7 linked regions of the Coturnix japonica genome follow. The protein of the gene in region 7 interacts with the protein of the main gene of each other region in a pairwise test. Links are inferred from orthologs where the notes say so. Each region holds a gene or a part of one and is shown on either strand. Other genes may lie near its edges. The genes, in order: WWC1, DPYSL3, SRGAP3, GSE1, GOLGA4, NEFM and TNIK.

Region 1 (3,500 bases), on a different chromosome or scaffold from region 7:
TCTTTTCACTCTCACTGGATTATATATTAAAGGTGGTGAATCTTGTGCCTGATGTCAGAAAGTATTTAAGTAGTCTTGTCATTGAGGGGTTCTTAACATTTGAATAGGGTCCTGTCATCTCTGAAGTAAAGTGTTTGGTCTCCACCGAAGTGCTGGTGTATTAAAGCAATAGGTTATGAACTTGAATTGCATTGGTGTGGTGCTATTTGTAAAAATACAACCAAAGAACTAGGAATGTTTTCCCATGTTTTGTATGGCATAAGCTGATGGCTGCAAGGATCAAAGTAACTCCTTTGCCTATGGCTACTTTTCATGACATTGCACGTTGGGGAGCTTCTGTACTTTCTGAAGCATAAGGGTTTTAACTGCTGCTGAGAAGAGAGTTCTGCTCTTAATGGGGTGCTGATTTAATCCAGTGTGACACATTGGGTGATTGGTTATGTCCTCAAGCCTGTGAGAAGGCTGGCATCACCTTTCGTGTTTTTCACTTTCCTTTGTTTCTGAATATTCAGGGGATTGTTTATACAACCAGAAAGTGAAAAAAAAAAAAAAAAAAAAAAAAATCCTAATGCACTGTTTCCTTCAGTTATGATAAATTCTTTTAGAAATGCGAGAAGTGAGAAGAGAGATTCTAGTAAGCTTGATTCATAGTTTGGGGCTGATAGAAGAGTAGGGGAGGATGATAAAGCTGCTAAATTCAGTGTTTGTTTTGCTCTAGTGCTGTCTGGCTCATCGTCAAGTTCCAAGTACGACCCAGAGATCCTCAAAGCAGAGATTGCTACTACGAAATCCAGGGTAAGAAGTACAAATGGACTTTCACTTGCCACAGGCAAACTTCAGATATTTCCAAGCCTCATGAAAAATATTGAAAGGTGACTCAAAAGCAATTGAAAGAGCTAATTTGCCATTCCTTATCTAGGAGATAAAATATCAGTATTCTCAAATGTTACCGGCTTAGATTGAAACAATTGTTTTCCTAATAGACTTTAGACTTCCTTGTATGCTGATAGTATGTTTTGCTCCATTTAACTGCATGCTCTCTCCTCAGTGCACTGCAACACCAGAGAGCTACAACGAGCTCTCTCCAGAGAATGGCAGCTGTTTTGTCGAGAGCTCAGTGCAGATTGTTAGCAGTGGCAGTGTGTTCTCTCATGCAGAGCTTGGTTTGGAAGAAGAAAGGACTGAAGTAAAGTAGGTCAGTCCGGCCTCTGTGGAGGAATATAAAACAAGCTGTAGGGTCAGTGGATTTACAATATGTTTTATCAGCCTGCTGTGTTACTCGTGCAGTGAGGCCTTTTAATTTGATATCTTGGAGGATGGTTTGTATCATTGCAATGTAACTCCAGTCCTGATACTTAACGTTTTTTAATGTCTGGAAAGGTTTTTAACATCAGTGAGTAAAATCAGCGTGTGTTTCATTCCTGACTTTTGATTTTATTTTATTTTTTCACCACATTTTCTGCTTGTGAGATTAAGCTTCTTGTGAGCCACTGTTTAAATAATGTGGTATCTGGGTGCTGGATAAATCCCTAGACACTGAAAATGTCCTGAAGAAGATGCAGTCAGCTGTTAGTTGCTGATGCAGTGATTATCTGCAAAATGTATCTAGATAATACTGTCTACACACCAAAAAAAAGTATGAATTGAATGGTTACTTCTGTGCCTAAATACTCATGTGAGGTGTTGTTCTTAACTTCCTACAGGTCAATAAACTAAAGAGGGAGGTAGCTCACATGAAGCAAGAAATCCAGTACAAAGAGCATGGATTTCAAACGCTGAAGAAGTAAGTTGGATCTGAAGGTCTTACTCTTGGTTACGTTTCTGGCTTGTAGTACATCCCCTTCTTCGTTTACAAATAGCTGCCTGAAAAACATAAGCTGAAATCTGTTGCTGCTGAGATCTTTAGGCACGTGCAACTCAAATCCATGGGGTTATTTCCTTCAATTCTGTGCCTGTATGTGATTAGCTGGATCAGAACTGAGTTCATGGGGAAATTACTTTTATACCTTTTGATTGTACCTTGGTTCATTCTGTTGCACTCAATTTTTGTCAACTTGCTTACAGTACAGACTATTGTCATAGTAGAAAAAGACAGAAAAAGATAAATAGATAAAATGAAAAGAAATTGGGGTGGGGATAAGCTTCAGGTGCTTATCTCTCTGTGAATAAACGGATGGCATTTTATAAGTAATGTCACTGATATAGTGTCCTGTAGTTTTCTCTCAAGTACCAACTTAAGTAAATAGTCCTTTCAGAAGAGGGCAGGATAAAGTGGTTTGTGATTAGCTTGTGCCTTTAAATATATCAGTGTGAGGTCTATGCTTTAAAATAATATAGTTAGCATACGATTAACTTACCTGCTTTAGAAACAAGGTAATTAATAGCAGTCTGTCTAAACTGTTTTTTTCTGTTGTTTTTTTTTCTCTTGTCTTTTTCCTCCCTAAAGATTCAAAGCAATTACATGGCTAAAATCAGAGTTTTGATGTTTAATGTATTTCTGAGTGAAGTGGCTTAAAAGGAACCAAGAACTCCAATCATCACTGCTTGTCTATGTTATACTTAGTGTGTTTTGTTAAAAATGATTGTCAAGCTGGATATGTCTAGGCTGATTTATGTAATGCACTTCATTTAAAATGTTGGCTTACTGTATGTTTTCTCGAATTTCTACGCAGTATTGACATGAAAATGTCTGATACTCAAGGTGGCTACAAACTTGATGAAGCACAAGCCATTTTAAGTGAAATGAAAGCTCTCAAGAAGGCCATCACATCAGGGGAGAAGGAAAAGCAAGACCTCATTCAGGTACTGAAACAGCTTTCATAGCATTTTGTCCCTGTTAAATTTTTTAAATCTATATAAATTATTTCGGTTTTCAGACATGTCTTTTAATATATCATTATTATATATTATATATAAATTGTATAATGATATATATATATTAATCTAAAGTAGTTCTGTATTGTGACTGGACCTTAATTTTCAGACTTTGGAAGTACAAAAAAGTAACATAACTGACAGTAGTGAGCACTTGGTTAGAGATGTGCTGTTGTCTCAGGGTTTCTTGAACAAGAATGAAGCAGTGTACTTGTCTGTACTGCTGTCAAAGAGCAGATATGCAGAAACCATCAAAACACAGTGGCCCGTTTGGTCTGTTTCCTCCAGCAAACTCCCAGCAGAGAACATGTGGGCATGAGACTGTGTTAATGTTCTCTGTGCTCAGCAGCACAGCAGCCTCATGCTTTAGGAGGTGCGGTTCAGCCTTGCCTGGCTTCACGTTTGCAGGGTCTGACTGTATGCACTGAATAGTCAGATCCTTAAATCACATAGTTTCAGTCAGGATTTATAGCTGCCAAGGTATTTTGAGTGAAAGTGAGCTCATGTGATGAATTTTTATGGTTTCAGAGTTTAGCCAGATTAAAAGACAGCTTTGTGAATGACAGAGGATCACAGTCAGACCTGTGGGCCAGCAATGTGTCCTTAGAAAGCTCAAGCTCTTCGTT
Region 2 (4,158 bases), on a different chromosome or scaffold from region 7:
GGACACACAGTGTTCATGACTATTTATATGTAGTGAGCCCTTTGTTCTCCTGGCCCTTTGGACCTGAATAATTGGTCAAAAATATAAGGTCCTAAAAATTGTTCTGCTTAGGTGGGGAAAAAAGGGGCAGAGTTGGTTATTGTGGTACATATTCAGAAACAAATGCAGGCTGCTTCCCAGGGCACAAAAGGAAGGAAACAATTCCAAGTCATTTCCCTTCCCTTAGCTTCAGGCCTCTGTTAGCCAGCACCCACAATGTGCCTCTCCTACTATCACCACGGGGTCATTGTTCTCTGTGATGGGGTCAGGCTCCATGGACACTTTTCCTATGTGAGAACCACCAATCCTTGGAGGAATGCAGACAATTGTACTGCTTTCTTTCTTTCTCATAATCAACAGCATCTCATAACACAAACAGGGGGAGCAGGAAATGACTTGGAAGGATGTTAAGCCCAGGTATGTTGTACAAATGTTCTATAACAAAAATAAGTACTTGGAAAAATAATTTGAAGTCAGTACTCTGGTTTTGCTGCTATGTGATGAATTTGACAGGCTCAATTAAACACCAACTTGCATAGTTAAAGCTCAGCTCTGCCTCTCTGTCTTTCAAGACTCCCGTGCTTTTGCAATGAAGTTGCAATGGAAATCTCAGAACTTAGCCAGAACGTGCAGCTCGTGTTTCTGGCTGTGTTTGCACGACAGTTTTTGCAGCAGATTCTGCTTGCGTGTATCTGTAAGGTGTGACTGACAACGTGCTCCTGTAGCGACCGCACATGTGAGCACGATGCCACACTGCCCTGTACCTGTGACAGCCGCCTGCAGGCAGCGCCCGCTTTGCCATGAAGTCAAAAGCTCACCAACGTGCCATCTTCGTCAGTCGCGTGCTCACACTGGAGCTTATTCCTTGAGAGTGAGCCCCAGTGAGCACTGCCAGCAAAGCCAGCAGCGGGATGGGCTGAGTTTCCACCCTGGATACCCGGTTCCATCGCTGGAGATGCGCCCGCGGGCGGACGTAGCGCCGCAATGCGCTTCAACGCCCCGACCCGGCCCGGGGACGAGGCGGCGACGGGACCGGAGGGTCGGGACGAAGTGCCGCGCGGCGCGGTCGCACGCGCCCCGTCATCCGCTCCGCGGCTTCAGCTCAGCGCCTTCAGCCCGGCAAACGCTCTCCAGGAAACGAGCCCCGACGGCCCCGCTCTGCCGCTCCCGACCCCGCGGGCGGCGACGACACCTCCGGCCCCGATCTGCCGGCAGCCGGCCCGCCCAGTCGAGCGGCCCCCGCGCCTGCCCCTGGGGCCGCCCCGCTCCCGCCCGCACCCCGCCCCGCCGGGAAGCCCCCGCCCCAGCCCCGGCCCCTTCCCCGGCGGCGCGGCGGTCGGGCATGGCGGCGGGCGGGCGGCGCGGCAGCGATGAGCTGCCGGTGTACCTGGCGCGGCCGGGCACGGCGGCCGTACCCCGGCAGAAGCGCGGCGGCCTCTTCTGCAGCGTCGAGGGCGCCTTCGAGAGTAAAACCCTGGACTTCGGCGCGCTGCGCGTGGGGCAGCGCCGTGCCACGCCGACCGCCGCTCGCCCCGAACCGGACCCCGCCGCCGTCCCGGACACTGACCCCGGGGAGGTCCGCGCCGCCGCGGACAAGGAGCGGCTGCAGAACGTGTCCCCCGACGACGAGAAGGTACGGGCCGGTCGGTGGGAGCTTGTCCCGGCGCGGGGCGGGAGCTCTTCTCGGCGCCCGGCCGGGGCTCGGGCTCGGCTGCGGGGCGGGTCGGGCTCGGGGGAGCGGCAGAAGGCGCCGCTGCCGTTCTCCGTCCTGGCGGCGGTAACTCGCGGCTGTTGCGGCTCGGGCTGTTGTGTGCGTTGTTGCTTCCTCTGCTTTAGCAGGAGGAGGATCTGCAGCTCCTCTCGGTCTTCCTTAAAGGAAGCAGAAAAGTTTTCCTGTTATCTTCCAGCGTGCGGAGCTCCTCTCTGCGAACTGGCATGTCAGTGATTTTTGGAAATACAATCAGAAGATACACACCCCATTACTAAGAAAGCTCTGCGTTAGAGTAGCTGACTCTTTTTATGACAGTTACTCCTTCTGTACTCTTGGACATCCTCTTCTCCCATCCCCAAAAAAGGGATTTTAGAGTTGCTCTTTGGAATAATCTCAGCCCAGCCCTGATCTCACTGTGACACGGAAGCCAGAGACCTCACGCTGACCTGGAAGTGGCACCTCTGAAGGGCAGCGTCGGGCACAGTGTTTCTGAACTCATGCCAAACTCATATGAACAAATAAATTCAGTCTTAACAGCACGAGGTTCTTCAGCCAGATGTTGCTTTTTTGGCTCTGATGCCAATATACATCAATGTGAGTTTGGCAGGAGGGTTTTTAAGTTAATAGTGCTGAGTAAGCGTGTCATCTGGGATTTCACTGAGTCTGGTGCTCACATACAGATGTGATGCACACAAGGCTGCTGGCTGGCCTGCTGCTCAACGAGTACAAGGGTGAACATTTGTAGTAAATAGCAATAATAAGGGCACTGTTTTTCGAGGGAGAACAGGGCTAATCAATAAAGCCCATTTTTAAAACTGGAAGCAAAAATCACTAAACTCAGCAGCAAGAGGGCAGCTTAACCTGAAGAAGTGATGTGATATTGCAGAAACGCCATCTTATGCCCAGAGCACAACCACTGCTAAAGTTCCCTTCTGATCTGGAGCACTGAGCTCAGCTGGGGCCCGGCGGGTGCAGAAGCAGTGCTGTGCAATGACTTGGCCTGTATTGGTGTTCGGGAAAAACATCAAGCTGTTCTCAAGGTCTCCTGTGTTCCAGACGAGCTTATAGCTTGGCAGCTGGATGCTTTGAGGTTTCTTCACTGTACTTTCATTTCTTCGGTCTTAGCTTTCAGGTTTCTTACTGGCATACTGGTTGTTCCTGCTCTTGTGGGAATGAACTTTACCCGGCTCCTATCAGTGCCAGCCTTGTCTGTATGGTTTGATTAACAGTTGCAGAACTGACCACTGAAATAACATTAAACTGACGCTTGTTGAAAAAGAAACAGAGATTTGCAGCAGCGTGTCTGTGGGCTTTTCTCCAAGCTTCTCATTAATTAGCTGTACCAATATTTGGAGCAGTCTCATTCCCTTTTAAGGTCTTGTTTAGACCCTTCTACCAGAATTTTGCAGTTGAGATTTCCCTTCTTCAGCAACTCTTTCTGCTGTTTTCTGCTTCCAGATTTCTTCCTCTGAAGCCTTCCATTTGATAAGCATCAGCAACTGAGCCCTTTTTATCTACACTTCTTGCCTGAGAGGGTGGGAAGCTTCACGTATAAGTGTTCTTGTTGCTGCCTGGCCAGAAAGAATCATATGACTTTTTCCTACAACTTCCAAGTTCAGGAGTGCCCTTGAGAGTAGCATCCCCGATGGGAAGGGCCCCTCTGGCGCACTGACCCCCTGCTATGGCTGGTCATTGTGTCTGTGCAGCCACAAAGAGTTTGCTTGTGTTGAACTCTTTGCAGTTTCAGAGCACACAGAGACTCCTTTGTTGAGATAAACTGAACTTCTTTGAATATTTTCTAGATTAAGAAACAGAGGAAAAGGTGAAGTGATCTACCCTTGACCAAGCAACTGTTTGTTAGGAAAGCTGAGAGTGAAGGACTTATCATGCAGTGGGCAGCAGGTAGATAATTATTCTGTGAACACATAGTTGGAGAAGGAGGGAAGATTTAGGTTGGATGTCAGGGGGAATTTCTTTACTACGAGAATGGTGAGGTGCTGGAACAGCTGCCCAGAGAGGCTGCAGATGCCCCGTCCATCCCTGGAGGTGTGTAAGGCCAGGTTGGATGGGGCCCTGGGCAGCCTGGTCTGGAATTAGATATGGAAGTTGGCAGCTCTGCCTGTGGTGGCACGGTTGGAGGCTGGAAGGGATCCTTGAGGTCCCTTCCAACCCAACCGTTCTATGACACCAACACAACATCTCTTTTTTAATGGCATTAATTATAATTAAAGCACCACTATTTCTGCAGGAAGACACTGAAATGTGTAACTGCCCTGTGCTGACATAAAACCCATCAGTGCAGCACAGTACCCGGAAGATGTTTCAGCCTCACTTTACTTCATTGCAAAATCTACTGGAAAGTCAAAAACTGAGCTGTGGCTTCAGGCACAGTGAAGTCATTCCACTGT
Region 3 (4,130 bases), on a different chromosome or scaffold from region 7:
TACAACACCCCTGTGCAGGAAGAGAATTCTCCAGTTAAATCCTACTTACACCAGTCACACCTCCCACACAAATGGTGCACCTACCAATTCTTAGGACACGGCAGTGCCCTGTGCACAGGAGCTCAGCCCCACACCCATCACACACCATCCCCTGTCACCATTAACAATGGCCCCAGCAGGAGGGCTGCCAGCACAACTTTCCTAAGCAACATATTGTTCTTTGTTGTTGCGCTGTCACGCTTTGCCAGCCTACCTGTCAAACTTCTCTACAACACTCATACAACCCCGTGTTCCAGTACTGCGAGATGGCTGCTGCTTTCCAAGTCCCCTGTGTGCTGGCAGCCCCCTGGCCAGCACTCGGCCATCTCTGATGTGACACCTTCAGAGGCAGCCCACTGCAGAGTGCGTCCATCTTCCAACCCCTGAAGTGAAGCAGCAGATTCCTGGGGTAGCGATGCAGCCTGAGCCAAGGGCAGCGGGCACTGGGAGGCAGGATCTGTGTCAACATCACTACCCTCAAGGGCTTGGGTGACAATAAGACCCCCCGTGCCAGCTGTGTGACACCAATGCAGCCGCCCCAAGGGCTCCTCTGGCTCCTGCATCCCCCTGGCCTTAGATGTGGGGAAACCTGCATTGCCCGCTGCTGAGACACAAGAGCAGAGTGGATGCCCTCAGTCAGAAAATGGCCATTTTTGGAGACGTAACTGGGCACACAATAGCACCAAACAATGATTACAGTCCCACCAGCACTCTGCCTGTGTTACCGCTGCCCAGAAATCAGCCCGAGACGTGATCACCATGCTGCAATAAACCATCTTTATACATAACCCTGGCATTCATGATCCAACATATGGAGCCCATGAGGCTACAACAGATGTCAGGCCAAGAGTGATCGCAGCAAATGAATATTCCAGTTACAAACACAGTAAAATAAAATTAAAAAACACAAAAAAACCCACCGCAGACGTCTGCAGCAGAACTTCATGGAGCAGAGCAGCCCCAAGCCAGCTGTGACCCAGCTCTGCACTGCCCAGCCCTGCAGTGCCCCAGCACCGCCCGCAGCTGTGGACACACGGATCCCCCCTGCAGGACTGAACAGCACCACGGGCTGAGAGAACACTTCGTCTGCCTCACAGCAGGGTGCCATAACATCAGTGTGCCCAAATTACACACAAGAAAGGTAATTGGCACTGAGCAGAGTGTGTTGTGACTGTTACATCACTCTTCAAAGCCAGCTACAAAAGACTGAAATGCAAGAAAATAAACAATGGCACCGTGTCAGCAGGCAGCCCCTCCCCAGGGCCTGGCAGCGCTGCACCACGCAGGGTACCAGGGTACGCACACAGCACCCGGTGCCTGCAGAGCTCAAGGTCCAACCACAGTGACCTCCAGGGAAAGTAAGGAAGTGAGGCTCTCGTGGTCACAGGTTCGTTCTCAGAAAGCTCGTGCTGTGTTTTTAATTAGCTCTGCCTTAAGCACAGACTTGCACAACACAAAATGGTGCCCGTAAGGACGACCACCCGAAGGCTGCGGGAGCTCCGTGTGCCAGCAGCAGCAGGGGGCAGCGCGGGGGGCATCGCAATGACTGGGCAGGGTGTGGGAAGGGACCACCGATAGCTGGAGTCACAGACTGACACTGCAACCGACGCACTCACAAACTGAAGTTATCCATGGATGGACACCAGTTAACACTTGGCTACTGCCATTAAATGCCCTGTTTCTATGGCACAGAGGAGGCCCCGCACTCTGCCAGCTGCACACATGCAACAATGCAATGCTTCCACCACACTGCAGGCATCTGCGATGCTTCGGGGAGCACCGACCTCCACACAACAAGCCCAGCTTGAATGAAAGGTGGAGCTGATACGTGGTGCTCAGCGGTCCCAGCAGACGTTACCTCGGATGGTGCTGTACTCTAACACCACGAATACAGCGCTGCGCTTTGACGCCTTGGTTCTGCAGAGCCGGGCTTGCATAACGACCATGTCCCCTGGCAGCGCTGCCTGCCGCACGCCGAGGTGCCTTACGTAAGACCCGCAAGATCAGGGCCTCCCTGACCAGATCGATCCGAGCCTTTCCCAGAGAAACACGGAGGAACCCACACAGGAACGACTCAGATTTCCGCACGGAGCTCCGCTCCCCGCCCGCGGCCCCCGCCCGGCTCCGTACCCGCCCGCACTCCCGCACTGCCGCCCTGCGCCGGGCACCTGCCGAGCTGCGCCCGGAGCTCCGCCGCGCCCCGACGTAGCCCGCAGCCACCGGCGCTGACCGAGGGCGCCTCAGCCGCGACAGCGGGGATCGCGGACGGCGCGGCCCCACCGGCGGCCCCGCAGCTCAGCTCAGCTCAGCTCAGTTCAGCTCAGTTCAGCTCAGCTCAGTTCAGTTCAGTTCAGCTCAGTTCAGTTCAGCTCAGTTCAGTTCAGTTCAGTTCAGCTCAGCTCAGCTCAGCTCAGTTCAGCTCAGCTCAGCCCGCCCGGCGCTGCCCCCGGCCCCGCGCCCACCCCGCACCGCCCGCGGCTCCGGCCCCGCACACAAAGGCGCGGCCCCGCCGCAGCGCCCGCCGCTCACCCTTCACTTGCGCATCGTACTCCGAGATGATCTCTTTGTCCTTCTTCGACTTGCCCTGCGAGGACATCTTTCGGGAGGCTGCGGGCGGGCGCTCGGCCGCGCCGCCTCACCCAGCCACGGGCCGCATCGGCGGGGCCGGGACACCGCGCAGCGCCGCCGGCCGCGGAGCCGAACCCAGCCTAGTACGGCACGGCACAGCACGGCACGGCACGGCTCGGCCCGGCCCGGCCCGGCCCCGCTCGGCCCCGCCCGCGCTGCGGCCCCGCCCCGCTGCTCCGTGCGGCGCTGGGCGGGCCGTGCCGTGCCGCTCCCGCGCTCAGGTTGCGGGCCGCGCCCTCCGCCGGCGGACGGAGCGACACACCGAGCCGGGCAGCGGGCGGGGCGGGGCGGAGGCGGTGCGCGGCCCCGGGGTGCTGCCGGGCTGTCGCGGCTCTGGAGGCCGCGGCTGTGCCGTCGGGAGCTGCTGCTGCTGGGTCTGCACCTCCGTGCGATGCTTTGGGTACCGCAGGAGCAGCAGCGGAGCGGGACGGCCCCAGGCAGGCGGGCAGGCCGCGAGACAGCGTGCAGGAAGTAACAGAGGTGTTGGGAGGTTTGCGTGGCCCCGAGGGTCGAACCAAACGTGGCAGCGCCCAGCACAGCACAGCACAGCACAGCGCAGCATAACACAGCACAGCACAGCATAACACAGCACAGCACAGCGCAGCATAACACAGCACAGCACAGCACAGCATAACACAGCACAGCACAGCACAGCATAACACAGCACAGCACAGTGCATCTCCCAGCCCCAGGAGCAAAGCTGCCCGTGTCCTCACAGCAAGGTGCCCGGACGGGGCCCTGGCCAAGCAGAGCCGCTCTCTGCAGTTGAGGTGCCCGTGGCACAGGGACACAGCAGATCCCGGAGTGGCCCACGCTGCTCCCTGTGCTCTGCCTGCACTCCCAGCCCATCGCATCAGGCCTCCAGTCATCTTCCTGGTCCCAGCTGAGCTCACGCTGCTGCTCCGCACAATGAATCCTTTTGTTGCTGTCCCTGTGAAGCCCAATGAATGCAAGGGGATTTGGTGATACAGCCATTCTGCCAGCTTACAAAGAATAAACCAAGCCTGCTAAACAAATAATTTACCTAGCCTTGGCCTGCAACACAGAGGAGCACTCCGAGCTTCAAGCAGCCATAAGAAGAGCCAAAGAGCAGCCAGAGGCAGCGGCACTGCTGCAGAAGAGCCGTGCTTGGAGTGGGGCTGGTGGGAGGATGCCAAGGAGAGCTGGGAGGTGTGAAGGAATTCTCCAGGAAATCTCTGGCAACAGTGAATTTGGGAAGTGAAGCAAAGATCTGTGGTATAAAATAATGCCACATAATTTCCCAAATCAAGGTTAAGTGATGTAGTAATTCCATACCTTTAAAGTACAGAGTTTGCAACTCGATATTCAATGTGCAGCAAAGACTGCCATGATTGGGGCCTTGGAAAACAACTTTTACCCAAACAATCTGCAATACAAAGGTGAAAGAAAAACAAAACAAAACAGAAAGTAAACGTAATTCTATAATAGTCAGGGTCTTCTGC
Region 4 (3,151 bases), on a different chromosome or scaffold from region 7:
GTGAGGAAGCGTTTCTTCTCCTCGAAGTTGGGGCTGTTGTTCATCTCGTCGGGGCTGTAGCGGGTGGAGAGGGGGAGGCGTGGGGATGGCGTGCGGCGCTTGTTCTGCACCGTGGGTGGAGAGGGGCTGCGCTCCCGCAGCATCCGCCGGCGTTTGCGCCGCTTCTGGCTCAGTAATTCCTCCTTCTGCTGCTGCGTGGTGAGGCCGAAGAGCTGCAGGAACTCCAGCTTCTGGGGCGTGAGGGGAGAGCAGAGCTGGGTCAGCCCCACAGCAGCACAGCACCTGTTCCCATCCCTGTTCCCATCCCCATCCCATGTCCATTTCCATTCCTATCTCCATCCCCATCTCCACCTTCAACCTCAGCTCTATCTCCATCCCGTCACCATCCTCAACCCCATTGCCATTGCCATTTCCATCCCCAGTCCCACTTCAGCCCCACATCCAGCCGAGTGCTGTGCCCATTTACCTCAGAGGATGTGTCCAGCTTCAGCGGGGGCTGCTCGGCCACACAGCGGAGATGTGCCCGCACCTCCTCCTCGTCGCTGTCATCACAGGAGTCATCCAGGTCGTAGTAATAACCTGGGGATGGGGAGAAGCTGATATCAGCCAAGGGGGGCCATGCTGGGACCCCCCCATATATACTGCTGGGACCCTGGGAAGCTGCTGGGACCCCAGGAATGGTTGGGATTCTGCTGGGTGGGGATGCTCACCACAGCATCCCAGCTCAGCTCTGTTTTGGGATGGCTTTGCAGGGGGACTGGAAGAATTATGGCTCTGTGGGCTGCTTGTAGTGGGAGGGCTGACTCTTCCCTTTGCTGCTGGGGCACCAGGGAGGGACACAGCCCAGGAGCACCTTGTGCCAAGGACACTGGGGACACCACTGCCTGCCTTGATGGGGAGCACCGGGCTCAGCAGGTTAATGGGGCACAAGGGGGGATGGCAGTGCTGCCCCCACACCTCGCTCCATCTCCTCCTCGCTGCTGTTCACATCCCCGCTCGCACGGCCCTATTAATATTTAAAGCCAGCTTATTAGCCTCAGTTCATCATTTATTAATTGGGCATGTCTAGAGCGGAGGATTTACCAAGCCGCTCTGATTTGGCTTTCGGGAGCACTTGCATCGAATGCCTGCGGGTTGAGCTGATGGCATCACTGGGGAGCCCCCTCCTGGCCTCCCCCATTGGGGTCCTGGTGGGGGGTCCCAAACCCCCTCCTCACCTTTCTCCCGGGCCTCCCGTCGTCGTCGCTCCTCCAGGTCCAGTTTGCTGACCAGCCTGCGGTGCTGCTGCACAAACTCGTCGTAGATGTACATGGGGTCCTGCGTGCGGGGCTGGGGGGGTCTGTAGGGCGAGCTGGGCTTGGTCACCTCCCCAAAAGGGGTGGCTGGGGGTCTCTGCTGGCTCAGGATGCTTTGCGTGGATTTCTCCAGCTCGGCCAGGAATGGTGTGTGGGTGAAGCCTGTGTGCTCTGCAGTGCTGGGTTCCCGTGGCACGGGGTATTTGTCCAGCGCATCCCTTTTCCTTGAGCTGTCTTCCAGCTTCTCGGGGCAGAAGACTCTCTCCACCTTCACCAGCGGGATGCCCTGCCGGCTGGGCTCGAAGGGGGCCGGGTGGCCGTGGAGGATGTGAGGCTCAGGGAGGCGCCGGGGGGGCTCCGAGGGGCTGTCCATCAGGGAGACGGGGTTCCAGAGGGATGTGGCAATGGGGTGGTGCTGGGGTTTGGGGGAGATGAGTGGTGGTGGACCACCAAAGTGCTGCCCCGGCTCGCGGATGCTCGGCTCGTGGCGGCTTGGTCCCGACCTGCAGGAAGGAGAGGAGAGGAGAGGGATGGAGAGGAGAAGCAAATCCTCTCTGCAAGCTGGATCTATGGAGAAATGATCTGTTGGATGCACGTGGTGGAGGGGGGAGGGTTGGGAACGGGATACAGGGCAGGGGACCCCTCTGTGGGACCGGGATGGCACAGGCTCTCACTGCACACAGAGTGACACTACAGTGAAACCTTCCCTAAACACCCAGGGAAGGAGCAAACCTGTTAGCAGGATAAATATTTCATGCTCCGGAGAGGAGCGTTTAACGCTTTTCCACTCGAGCGCTCCAGACCTCTGTGCAGCAGAGCAGGGAGGGCTCAGTGCTGCCAGTCGGGTCACAGCTGCCATCGCTCTATGGAGAGCTCCTGCAGGCACCAGCACTGCGGGCTGAGGGCATCACCTGCCCCAGTGGAGAGCAGGGTCCCTGTCCCCATCCCTCCCCACCATCTGGGGGTCTCTGGCAGCACTTACAAGGGGCTGGGCAGGATGCTGAGTAAGGGACTGGGATAGGAGTAGGAATGAGATGAGGATGGGATGAAGATGGAGATGGGATAGGAGGGAGATGAGGCTGTAAGAACACCCCCCCACACACTCACTGCTGTGCTCAGGGTGACCTTGATGTCTCCTCCCTGCTTTGGGGAGGGATGTGTGGATGGGGGCGGGCGGCTGCAGCAGGCACTTGCCATTGTGCCGCCCCGCAATCCGCTCCTTGTTATACTCGATTAGCCGCGCTAATCCCCTTGATATCCAAAAATAACAATGGGAGCCGGCAGCAGAGCCGACTGGATAAGCCCACACCACCAGAGCGCTCAGCAACAGAGCGAGAAAACCCGCGTCAATGCAGAGCTGTGGGCACGGGCTGCCCCCCTCGCCTCATCCTACTGCGCATCCCCTCTATCAGAGAAGCAGCTTTCAGGCTGCACAGGGGAAGCTGCAATTAGCGATGTCGCTGCCTCGGCAGCACCTGGCTGCTCGCCGTTGGCCCCCAGCCACCTCCCGGGCTCACCGCCTGCTGCCGCGCAGATGTCAGGCAGTGGCACCGCACGGCGCTGCCAGCACAGCCGGCCCGGCTGGCACAGCACGGCGGGGACCTGCTGGCACCGGACACACAGCTCGCCTGGTGCAGGGGGGGAAAGCATGAAGGCTGAGCTTGGGGGGAGCTCGTCCTGCTCAGAGCCAGCTCGCAGGGTGGCGAAAATGGCAGCGAGATGGGAAAATCCTATGAAACCAGCAGGAAAATGGGCAGAGGGAGCATGGAAAGGGGCATCCTGCATCCTGGCAGAGAGGATAAACCCACTTGGGGTGTGCAGCCCTACCTGGGGTTGTCAGGTCGGTGCTCGGGCTC
Region 5 (3,500 bases), on a different chromosome or scaffold from region 7:
GAGATATTTAGTATTTTCTTTTTTCATACCTACGTTTTCATCCTTTTTTTTTTTTTTTTTTTTCTTTTAGGTAGCAATAGCTGAACTTCAGGTAAGTTTTGATTTATTTATTTTTTTAATGTTCGTTTTCTATGTAATGCTATGTCACATCACTTTGAAGCTAGCAGCACTGCTTATAAGTTCGTGTGAATTGAAAGTTAAAAAAAAAAAGTAAAGCTTAAAAGCTTATTAAAGTGGTATGTTCAGGAGTTTTTTGAAATTTTCTGTATGTGGCTGTTCTTTCAGGCACAGCTTGCACAGAAGACAACGCTAGTCAACGATTCAAAGTTGAAAGAGCAGGAGTTCAGGGAGCAGGTAAGGGCACTGTTTGAACAAAGGAAAAAACATCATCTGATTATTTGTACTTGCAGTTGAAACTATTGGTTCCTTTCAACTGATGATGTAGCACAGCTCTATACAGCAAGTATAATACTAATACATGTAAAATAGTTTTGGCTCATACATCTATGCACATTGTCAAAATACTTCTCGGTCCCCAGGGTATGAAAATACCAAATATAAGTGGTGCAGGTTATCAAAAACATCTGCAGAATGAAAATTTACAAATGTCCTTTTTGAAATTATGTTTTCCCACTTTTTCTAAACTAGATTTTCTGGTTTTAGGTAAAATAAGTAAATAATGTTATATCTGTGTTTTAATATATGTATATGTATGTATATATATGTATATATCACATGAATATAGGTATATGAATATGTATGTGTATAGATATTTTGGTGTGTCTATATGCACGTGTACACAATTTTCTTTAGTTAGGCACAGTTATTAATATCTTATTTGAGGGCAAATTGCTCTACTAGAATTTCAGGATGTTTAGCTGGAACTTCTTATGCTTACTTTTAACTTCAACAGTTCTGATCATGACTCATCTCTGTCTAGATTCATGTACTGGAAGACAGACTAAAAAATTATGAAAAGAAAATGTATGTCACATCAGTTGGAACACCATACAGAGGTATGCATGTAATTTTCATCACACAAGTTTGTTTATTTGAAAGATATGCTTTTGTTTAGAGAATCCATTAATATATCTGGGGTTTTTTTGAAACATTTATCTTACAAGTGAAACAGCTCTGTATCAGCAATCTGTTATCTCTGGGGAATTGATAGAGGCAGTTTCAGTGAAAATTTGCTGGAGGGGAATTATACCCTAGCTTAACTGAATACAATTTTTGACTCTTTAAAAAATCTTAAATATGCAATCATTAGATTTCACAAAGCTTTCTTGTGTTGCATGTTTGGACTTTTGCTATTCTTATAACTAAATGCCCTTTCCAAGATCTGCTCTGACACCTTGATTACCGTGCTGTTACTTTTCTTCCTGTATCCATATTTATTAAGAGCACTCCTTTAAAAAGTTGTCTTGAGGAGTTACTTTAAGCAAATCACTTTATTATTATCTTTAACCTCTCTGCGGACCATTTCTTCTCTATCAAAATTCCACTTTCCCTGAAGACTTGTATCCAAATTAGTCCAACACCTAATTTAATTTGCCATTGGCCTGTGATGCTGGGTTTATGTTAAATTGTGAATCTTTCTATCTTCCATCTTGGTGAGAATAAAGCTAAACTATTAGTTTATTCTCTATAAATATTCCTCAGAAAAGTTATTCTTCACTGCTGTCTTTGCAGAACTTGATGAAGGTAGTCATAGTTTGGTATACAACTTCCTAGCATATTCACCAATGCCTTTTTTTTTCTTAACTTTGTACTCCTTTTTTTTTGTTTCCATGTATGTATCTCCAGCCTTACACCTAGTCTGTAAGACAGCTAAAGCTAAAAACGAAACTTCATGAGTAGTACGTTGTTGAGGATTTTTAATTGTGCTGATCCATTATGTTTTATGCTTCAGGAAATTGCTCTGAGTAGGTTTTAGGCATCTGGCATAATTATGGTTGTTACGCCCATGTTTCATACTTGATTACATTTTGTTTCAGTGACTTTCTGACTATGAATAACTTACATTCTTATGAGTTACTCTTAGTATAAATATACTTATTTTTGTTTACACAGATGGAAATCTTCATCATACTGACGTTTCTCTCTTCGGAGAGCCCACTGAGTTTGAATACTTGAGGAAAGTGCTTTTTGAATATATGATGGGTCGTGAGACAAAGGTATGGAAAGTTGTATACAGTGATGTGATGTGGGTTAGAATGAAGTTACGTTCCTTGCTGTATTGATCTTAAGTGCCATGATGATGGCAATTCATCATGCATTTTCTGTCTGTGTAAAAAGACTCAATGGACTTTCAGGGCTTTCTTAGAAAGAGACATGTATCTTTACCAGCTTCTCTGGAACGCTGAGATAAAACACAGGGGGAGTGAAAGGAGAGAACACCAGGGAGGGGGAGTGTGTGTCACATCTCTCACCAAGGCACTTACAGAAACAAATAGCCCTCCAGGTAGGTGTTATTTTACCAGCAGAAGACTTAATGTCAGTCAGGCTTACTGGACTTTGAAAGCTGATATGCACTGTATTAGCAAACTACTTTTGTGATGTTATCTTGTTGCAAATATGATTAAGTTACAGTTGTATTACCCTGTTACAAGCTCTGAAGATGAAGGGTTGTTTGTTTTTTTTTTTCAAATTGTTCCTTAAAGATCTTTTATAAGACTCCCAAATCTGTGTACCTTCACTAGTTAGTATTAACCTACTATTAAAAGCAGAGAAAAGCTGCACAGTAGGCTCCTTGTTGTATGCTGACAAGCTTGTGAAATCATTCCTATGTTGGAATTTTACTAGCTTGTAACAATACTGATGCTAAGACCAGCTTCAAAGGAGGTATGTCGTAACACAAACATTTTTCTTGGATGACAAATGCTGTGTGGATGTGGATGAATATAGGGTTTTTTTTTCTTCCCTGGGGTTCTTCCATTCTTTGTTGTACTGCTTTCAACTTGGACAGTTGCTAAGTAAAAAGGTTTTATGCAGGGTTCTGTGTTAACTGTGCTCCTTATGGAATAAATCTTGGTCTACACAGGACTTCTTGTCCTTAGAAGATTCCTCTTTCTTTTTATCCCTTTTCTTATTTCACTATTTAACTCCCATTTTATTAAAAATACAAATTCTGGATCCAAAAACAACCACCAGAATCACTAGTTAGCTTCTGTTCTTAGGCCTGTGGCTCATTGGATGGCTCTCTTACCTTAATAGCGTCTGTTAGAAATCATTAAATAAAAATATATATTATTGGATATTACACTTTTGAATTGCAAGGGACTTAAACACAAGAAAATGATAATAATAATAAACCCTAACAACAATAACAAACTTTGTCGGCTATGTTCCAACTTCAGCCAGCCCTTGAGACTGTACTGTAATGGATGACTAGTACATATTATTTACAGGTAGGAAGCATTCCTTCAGTTGCTTTGATGAAAAGATGTTTATATTTGTGTGAGTATGTATTTGTCCTGGAGATTGCACTCTATGTAATT
Region 6 (3,934 bases), on a different chromosome or scaffold from region 7:
GAGCCTTTGCTGCCATTTCTTCTGCGATAGATGCAAGGGCATCTTCCATTTCAGACTTCTCATCCTCTACTTTTGTCTCTTCGATGATTTCTTCTACAAATTTGTGCTGGACCTTCAGCTTTGGTGGCTCGATTTTGGTTTTCTGTATTTTAGTGGAGGCTATTGTGACCGATGGTTGTCTGTGTGTGAATATGGGTCCAGTGATGCTTCCAGAGAAGGCACTGAATCTTGTCTCCTCACCCTCCAGCAGCTTCCTAAGAGAATCAGGAAGGAAAAATAGTGAGCATTAGAAACCCAACCTACGGGACAATGTTTCTCTCTGTCAGCAGGATGAGGTCAGCGCATGTAGAATATGCTAGAGAAGACCAGCACTATCCATCGCTCACAGCCCAAGATCTGCTTCTCTCTAATCAGCTCTTTCAGTAAATTCTTACTGAACAAGCACCTTTTGGCTTGCTTTGCATGTAGCAAGCATATCACCTTTAGCTGAGCAGTTGAAATTCATCCTTTGCATCAAAGAAAGTGATTAACTCCATAGGACGCATCATGACTCAGGTGAACTGAGAATGGAATGGACCCAAATGGAACATCATTGCTGAGACTTTCAAAGCCAGCCAAGCATACACCCAAGCTCATTGTAGGCACCCCCACCTCTCTGCTTTTAGCCATACAATGGGGCTGCAGAGCAATACAAGTCACATCAGGCAGCAAAGAGCTGCAGAGCCTATAATGCCTATGCTTGCCTCAACAGCCTCAAGTTCACAGAGATCTGAAAGCAGCTTTCTCTTTTGACTGTTTTCATATTCAAATGTATATTTTTCATCTAAGCCTCTGACCCAGAAAAATCAGCAGTTCTGATGAGGTCTCTGAAGTGATGCAGAGAGACCAAAAGCCTGCCAGGTGATGGCAATAGCACACAGCTTTCCTGCTCCAGATCAGAGTGCGTGACAAAGGAAAGTTGAGCAAGAAAAGCAAAAGTGTTTGTGACAAGCAGGTTAGCGCTGCCTGCTTAAACCATGATCAAGCAAAGCACAGCATCTCTCCCAAGTGAGAAAAGTGACAAGCACCGCTTGCAAGGCATATGCAAAGTAAACAGGAATTAAAAATAAACTCATCTACTGCAAAACAGGCGCAGGGTGCAGCACTGAGGTGCAGTGTGCATATAGGGAGTTCTGCATTGTCCTCCTGGCTGCAGACACTTTTGAGTCTGTGCATTGTGAAAGGGCTGCAGTACTTCAGTCAAGCTCTAATTTGGCTCGTGTTCAACGCATACAGATACTTCTCGCTGGTGGTAAAGCATCTCAGAGCAGCCTCTGCAGTGCTATTAATATTCCAGACATGCCCACAACGATCCCCCTGTTACCTGTATGCAGCAATTTCGATATCCAGGGCCATCTTGACATTGAGGAGATCCTGGTACTCCCTCAAATGACGCGCCATCTCCCACTTCGTTCCTCTGAGCTCATTTTCCAGCTGATGGATCGTGTCCTGCAGCCGAGACAGAACAAACCATCACGACAAAGACATAAAGAAAGGGAAAAGGGGGAAAGAAAAGTTGCGGCGAGACTTTCCTAAAGTCCTTCCCACCCACTGGGCGGCAGCAGCGGGTTGGGACCGCACCCCCGGCTTTCCCCCCACCCGCATCCCGCAGCCCCCAGCCCGCACCCCACTCCCCGCAGGACCTGATAAGTGGTGAGATCGTTGTTGTGACGTTCCTCGATGTCGCTCAGCTGCCGCTCCAGCGACTCCTTGGTGCCACGCACCGACTCCAGCTCGATGCTCTTGGACTGCAGCTGCCTCCGGTACTCGGCGATCTCCTCTTTAGCGGAGCGAATGGCTTCCTTGTTCTGCTCGGCCGCCTCCGTCAGCTTGGCGTAGCGGCACTTGAACCATTCCTCGGCCTGGTGCATGTTGTGGTCGGACTGACACTCCAGCTGAGCGCGGATCTCCTTCAGCGCCGTGGTCAGGTCCGTCTTCAGGTAGTCCTTCCTCTCCACCGTAGCGTGGGACGCCTGAAGCTGAGCCAGCAGCTCGGCCACCTCCTCCTCGTGGTTGCCCCGCAGAAAGGCCACCTCGTCCTGCAGCGACTGCACCTTCTTATCCAGCTCCGCCCGCATCAGCGAGGCCTCCTCCATCTCCTTACGCAGGGCGCGGATGGTGGCCTCCGTTTCATCTCGCAGCCGAGCCTCATCCTCGAAACGCTCCCGCAGCCTCTGGATGTCCTCCTCGATGTGCTCCGAATCCAGCTGGATCTGTGCCTTCTCGTGGCTCACCTGCTCCAGGGCCCCGCGCAGCTCCCGCAGCTCCTGCTCGTAGGCATCCCCCAGCTGAGCCCTCCCGGCGTGTTTCTGCCGCAGCGCCGCCAGTTCCGCTTCGATTTCCTTGTTCTGCTGCTCCAGGTAATGCACTTTTTCGATGTACCCCGCGAAACGGTCGTTCAGCCCTTGCAGCTGCTCTTTTTCATTGGAGCGGCTCAGCTTCAGCTCGGCCGCCCCGTTCAACAGCGAGGACTGACTCACGTCGAGGCTCTCTGCGGAGCTCAGCACGGTGGAGCCGTAAGCGGTCCGCGGAGCCCCGAGGTTGGTACGTTTGTAGGACGAGGATACGGTGCTGCCGGAGCCCCGAGACCACGACTGAGAGCGGAATCCGCTGGACGGGGACGCGCTGGCCCGGCTGTACGTGGCTCGGGTCTCGGTCATCACCCTGCGGTACGAGGGGTTGCCCAAGGGCTCCATGGTGTAGCTCATGGTGGGGGCACTCGGGGGGTGGCGGACGGAAGCGCAGCGCAGCTCTGGATGCCGCTGCCCCTTTTATAGCCCCGCCGGGCGGCTCCGGGGCGGCCCCACACACGTGTGTGAGGATGTATCCGCCCCCGACCCTGCCTCAGCTCCGCCCCTCAGTTCCGCCCTCCCTTCCGCGCCTCCCTCATCCCATCCCTTCCCGGCCCCCGCTCCCAGCTCCCGGCTCCCCGACCCCCGCTCCCCCTTCCCCCTGCACCCTCTTTACCCCCTTCCCCCCTACCCGCTGTTTCCCATTCCCTATTCCATATCCTCTTTCTCCTTTCCCTATCCTTATCCTCCTTTTCCCATCCTCTTCTCTCTTCCTCTTTCTCCCTTCTTCCCTTCTCCGTGTTCCTTCACTCATGCTTCAGCCCCCTTCTCCCCTCACCTTCCTTTAGATCTTCACTTTCTTTCCTCTTTCCTCTTTCCTCTTTCCTCTTTCCTCTTTCCTCTTTCCTCTTTCCTCTTTCCCTTTCCCTTTTCCTTTCCTTCTTTCCTTCCCTTTTTTCCTTTCCTTTCCCTTTCCTTCTGTTCTTTCTCCTCCCCCGCAGTGGCCATGGCGGAGCGCAGCGCGGTGCCGGAGCCCGCAGGGTAGGGCCGGGGCCGGGATCGGGGGTTCAGAACCACGGACAGCTCCCCCGGGGGTTCAGCACCACGGACAGCTCCCCCGGGGCTCCGTCGTTGGCCCCGGGCGGGGGTAGGGGTGAATAGAGGGTCCCATGGGCAGCCCCCTCCTCATTTCCCCCCACCAACTCCCCCCGCCCCAGTTCCCCTTCCTCAGGCAGTGGTTGACATTTGAAGGTCATAAAAGTATCCGGGGAAGGGAGACTGCGTGGGCTGCGGGCGGATTTGCAGCACTGCAAGCGCTTTACCTCCCTATGGGGTAGGGGTTGCAGGTTGGGTAGTGCTGGAAAGCTCCCTGCAGTCCTGGATCTTGGTTCTTTATCTCGCTTTCATCCCCTTTATTCCTCCCCCCACCTTACCTTTCCACATAACGCTTGGTGCATTGCTTAGAAATGACTTCTCCTACTTTGAAACATTGCTAAGAATGATGTTTACACGGTGCAGTAGACTTTCTGTGGGCTGCATACGGTGACTTGCAGTAGCTAACAGCCAGACTTTGAACTCCTCGTGGATGGATCAGCTACATGGGC
Region 7 (3,500 bases):
GCTACCTGAAGATATTATGTTTCCATCAAGATTAGCTGAGAGAGCTGGGCTTTGTTTTTATTTCTGTATCAGTAATGGAGTGTTCTTTTCCTTCCATACATGACAAGGTGCCAGACTCAGTAAATTCAGATCAAAGCCAGCCATTTTCTGGCTGCCATGTTTATTCTTTTATTCAGATCAAACAAAAGAATTCCTTGTGGGGCTCATAGTAGTGAAGGAGTAGGGTCCCCTGGCTCACAGGTACATTTAAGAAGCAAGAGCTTCTCAGAAGTCATCTTCTAGAAATACATATTTGAGGCGTGCTGCATCATCCTGGAGCATTAATTTTCCATTTCACGCTCAGAAATGAATTATGCGCATGAAATACAAATAGTCATTTTGGAGTCTTTGAAACACACTTTTTGCACAGTCTGCTGGGTATCAGGAGTCCCCTAGTCATACAATACCCAGATATATCTAAAGACTAAAGAGTTTCCTGTAGATTTGCATACCTTGGCTTTCAGTTAAAAATGGCTCTTTCTGGGTCTTCCTTACCTTTGTAGAAGCTGGAGGTTCCTTTCAGGTTTCTTGATGGTATTTGATTGCCTGCACCAGCAGCCTGTGGGAGCTGAGCTGTGTTCAGCTTCGGGTCAATGTAGCAGGACCACAGGGACCTCTCTCTGTGTCCATATTAAAACCCAGTACCCTGAACAACCATTTCTTCAAATCAAAGATGAGATTTTCATATAAACCAAGAAATTCATCAAATAACCAGTCAGTTTCACCCCCTCCTCCTGCAGGTGGAGGAGCGCTCCCGACTCAACCGTCAGAGCTCGCCGGCGATGCCACACAAGGTGGCCAACAGGATTTCAGACCCCAACCTGCCTCCTCGCTCAGAGTCCTTTAGTATTAGCAGCGTGCAGCCAGCGCGGACCCCACCCCTGCTCAGACCCGTGGACCCGCAGGTAATGGTGCTTCCCCTAACTGGTGTCCATACAGCACCCAGGATGCCGGGGGTGCCGATAAGGTAAAAGGAAAAGTAGTGTTAAAGTAGCATCTTGCTCTGTTATGTCTTAGCCTGAAGCATATTTGTGAGGTAGAGCAAGCAGCATCTGCATTCATGAGTTGATCTTTGTCACCTTCATGCGTTAGAAACATCACGCTGGTTAATACCTTCCTTTGAAGCATCAGGTCCTGGTTACTGCCAGAAACAAGCTGGAGGACTGAGAGGAACTGCTGGTCTGGTCCAGTGCAGCAGTCTCTCTCTTCCTCTTTAAATCTGTTTTATTAAAGGACTGAAACCACAGTGCTTGGTACAATAACCCAGGGCACTTTGATGCTGGGCATCATCAGAAGGAGGTTTTACTTTCTTTCTCACTTCAATTTGGGGGTTTTGTTTCTTTTTTTCCATTGAGTTAACATCAGTCACAAACACATCTGGAGAAGGCATAGATCAATCACCATTACCATTGCAGAAGAGGAGAACTGTGCTTTTAAGTTACCCTAGTTGCAAGGTTTGTTACTAGGCTTCTGGAGCAAGTTGGTGGAGCATCAGCGCTGGGTTGGCCACTGGAAGTGCTCCTGTGGGTGTGCAGACTTGAACAGGCATTTCACGGAGAACAGAGCCTTTCCTCCACGTTCAGTTGGGCTTTCTATGGGAAAATGTGGAAATAAAGGGCCATCCACATGGAGTATGTGCCCCCATAGGTCAGCAATACTGCAGTGATTTCAAACAAAACGCATGCTGGAAAGCCCTTAAGTGGAAAGCTCTTTCTTCTCCAGTGCATATGCATTCTGTATGCATCATAGACATTGGGAAGTGGGTAAAACTCCACTTTGCAGACTTCTCAGTGATGTCTCTGATTAACCAAACATTTCCTGATTTCAAGTCTGGAAATATTTTTCAGTGATTCTTCTCATGATCAATATTGTCAACAGCTATAAAGGCTTTTGCTTGACAATGAAGCACCAATGAAAAAGCTGCTTGAAACTCAGAGATCCATGTAAATACGTGTGTCTGCACACATGCATGCATATCCATGCATAAATAAATGTATGTAGAATTGCCATGCTTCCCCCAAAATACCAATTACAGATCTGCTGTAGCAAGGAAAAGGTCGTGGTAGATATCGCAGGGTTCTGAGAAGAAGCTCATAAACTCAAATGCTGTGAGTGTTTCTGATTTTCCAAACCAGATGTCAGCGTTCCTTTCATTCACTCATAAGCCTTAGATCTGTAGACCTGATCTAAGGGATGGGATTTGTAGCCTTATAGAAACTCATGCCTCAAGATTCATTTTTAAGCCATCTATGCCTCGGAATTCCTGACGCTTTTTTGTTTTTTTAACTTATTTTTTTGTAATTATTATTTACTGTCGTTTCTCTTAATTATTATTCTTAATGAGGAAATTCCATGCCAAACATCATCAGCACAACCCTAGAGTTACCAGATGTAGGAGCTTGACATAGAGCGTATGGTGGGCACAGCCCAAGGCGTGCATGGCATGTGTGTGAGCTGCCCAGGGCACCCTGCCTGCGCTCCTTCAGTGCTGCTGTGAGTTAATGCTGCATCCCAGTGCCTGTGCAGAGCTGAGACGTGGCTCTGACTGCAGCATTTCCCCATCTCCAAGTGCTGAGCATGATTTTTAACAGTTCTTGCATTGAAGTGATGTAAGTCAGAAGTTCCTGAAACCAAGGCAGTGCTGATCTCAAACCAAGGGGGCTTTTTTAGTGCATCCAATGTGCTAATTGATTTTTTTATTTTTTTTTCCTAAAAATCACGTTTTTGATTTTTCTCTTTTTGATCCGCTTTTTTTTTTTTCCCTTCCCATTTTGTACTGATAGTTGTGTTTTGACTTGGTGCTTAGATTCCACATCTGGTCACTGTGAAATCCCAAGGAAGCTCCTTGTCTGGGTCTCAGTCACTGCATGAACAGCCTGCAAAGGGGATGGCTGGGTTTCAGGAGGCTCTGACGGTGACCTCTCACCGCACTGAGATGCCAAGGCAGAACTCGGACCCCACCTCAGAAAACCCTCCTCTGCCCCCTCGCATTGAAAAGTTTGACCGAAGTTCTTGGTTACGGCAGGAGGAAGACATTCCACCAAAGGTAACACTACTGCTCCTCGCTTTCAGCACATCAAAGAGGCCATCCCAGAGCTGGTCCCTGCAGGACTGGGCTGACACTGGTCCTCTTTGTCAGTCAGTGGAGCTGTGCTGTGGTGCTGTGCTTTGGTGCTGTGCTCAGCACCTCTGGCCAGGCTCACTGCTGTGGCTCCGCAGCAGGGGATTGACCCTGCAGATTTTGCATGAGCTGCAGAGACATTGGGAGCTGCTTACGGGTACACGCACAGCACTGCAAAACAGCATTGCCCTCCAGCAAAGAAGGTTCTTGAGCCCGGACCGAGCCCAAAACAAATCAATTTCTCCTTGCCCTAGGAAAAAAAACAACGACCTTCTGTTTAAATAGAATTACAGGATCATAAAATTCATCATGCGCAATAAGATGGGTCCTTTTGGTCCAG

Evidence for each region.
Region 1: the proteins of TNIK (region 7) and WWC1 interact in a two-hybrid assay, tested with the Homo sapiens proteins (2 studies listed by BioGRID and IntAct). The link is inferred for Coturnix japonica from reciprocal best matches to the Homo sapiens genes TNIK and WWC1.
Region 2: the proteins of TNIK (region 7) and DPYSL3 interact in a two-hybrid assay, tested with the Homo sapiens proteins (2 studies listed by BioGRID and IntAct). The link is inferred for Coturnix japonica from reciprocal best matches to the Homo sapiens genes TNIK and DPYSL3.
Region 3: the proteins of TNIK (region 7) and SRGAP3 interact in a two-hybrid assay, tested with the Homo sapiens proteins (2 studies listed by BioGRID and IntAct). The link is inferred for Coturnix japonica from reciprocal best matches to the Homo sapiens genes TNIK and SRGAP3.
Region 4: the proteins of TNIK (region 7) and GSE1 interact in a two-hybrid assay, tested with the Homo sapiens proteins (2 studies listed by BioGRID and IntAct). The link is inferred for Coturnix japonica from reciprocal best matches to the Homo sapiens genes TNIK and GSE1.
Region 5: the proteins of TNIK (region 7) and GOLGA4 interact in a two-hybrid assay, tested with the Homo sapiens proteins (2 studies listed by BioGRID and IntAct). The link is inferred for Coturnix japonica from reciprocal best matches to the Homo sapiens genes TNIK and GOLGA4.
Region 6: the proteins of TNIK (region 7) and NEFM interact in a two-hybrid assay, tested with the Homo sapiens proteins (2 studies listed by BioGRID and IntAct). The link is inferred for Coturnix japonica from reciprocal best matches to the Homo sapiens genes TNIK and NEFM.

Annotation. Positions count from the first base shown.
Region 1 is NC_029528.1:7,316,148-7,319,647, reverse strand, and holds part of WWC1 (protein KIBRA), read left to right. Parts: intron 1-718; coding exon 719-795; intron 796-1,703; coding exon 1,704-1,783; intron 1,784-2,672; coding exon 2,673-2,802; intron 2,803-3,402; coding exon 3,403-3,500. UniProt on the Homo sapiens protein: Regulator of the Hippo signaling pathway, also known as the Salvador-Warts-Hippo (SWH) pathway.
Region 2 is NC_029528.1:247,325-251,482, forward strand, and holds the start of DPYSL3 (dihydropyrimidinase-related protein 3), read left to right. Parts: upstream 1-1,358; 5' UTR 1,359-1,381; coding exon 1,382-1,672; intron 1,673-4,158.
Region 3 is NC_029527.1:16,731,003-16,735,132, forward strand, and holds the start of SRGAP3 (SLIT-ROBO Rho GTPase-activating protein 3), read right to left. Parts: upstream 2,801-4,130; 5' UTR 2,636-2,800; coding exon 2,569-2,635; intron 1-2,568. UniProt on the Homo sapiens protein: GTPase-activating protein for RAC1 and perhaps Cdc42, but not for RhoA small GTPase. May attenuate RAC1 signaling in neurons.
Region 4 is NC_029526.1:15,702,065-15,705,215, forward strand, and holds part of GSE1 (genetic suppressor element 1), read right to left. Parts: coding exon 3,123-3,151; intron 1,799-3,122; coding exon 1,218-1,798; intron 580-1,217; coding exon 467-579; intron 231-466; coding exon 1-230.
Region 5 is NC_029517.1:77,612,169-77,615,668, forward strand, and holds part of GOLGA4 (golgin subfamily A member 4), read left to right. Parts: intron 1-70; coding exon 71-91; intron 92-285; coding exon 286-354; intron 355-940; coding exon 941-1,016; intron 1,017-2,073; coding exon 2,074-2,177; intron 2,178-3,500. UniProt on the Homo sapiens protein: Involved in vesicular trafficking at the Golgi apparatus level. May play a role in delivery of transport vesicles containing GPI-linked proteins from the trans-Golgi network through its interaction with MACF1. Involved in endosome-to-Golgi trafficking.
Region 6 is NC_029537.1:2,110,435-2,114,368, forward strand, and holds the start of NEFM (neurofilament medium polypeptide), read right to left. Parts: upstream 2,801-3,934; 5' UTR 2,748-2,800; coding exon 1,683-2,747; intron 1,489-1,682; coding exon 1,364-1,488; intron 255-1,363; coding exon 1-254. UniProt on the Homo sapiens protein: Neurofilaments usually contain three intermediate filament proteins: NEFL, NEFM, and NEFH which are involved in the maintenance of neuronal caliber.
Region 7 is NC_029524.1:17,398,789-17,402,288, forward strand, and holds part of TNIK (TRAF2 and NCK-interacting protein kinase), read left to right. Parts: intron 1-779; coding exon 780-944; intron 945-2,845; coding exon 2,846-3,085; intron 3,086-3,500. UniProt on the Homo sapiens protein: Serine/threonine kinase that acts as an essential activator of the Wnt signaling pathway. Recruited to promoters of Wnt target genes and required to activate their expression. May act by phosphorylating TCF4/TCF7L2.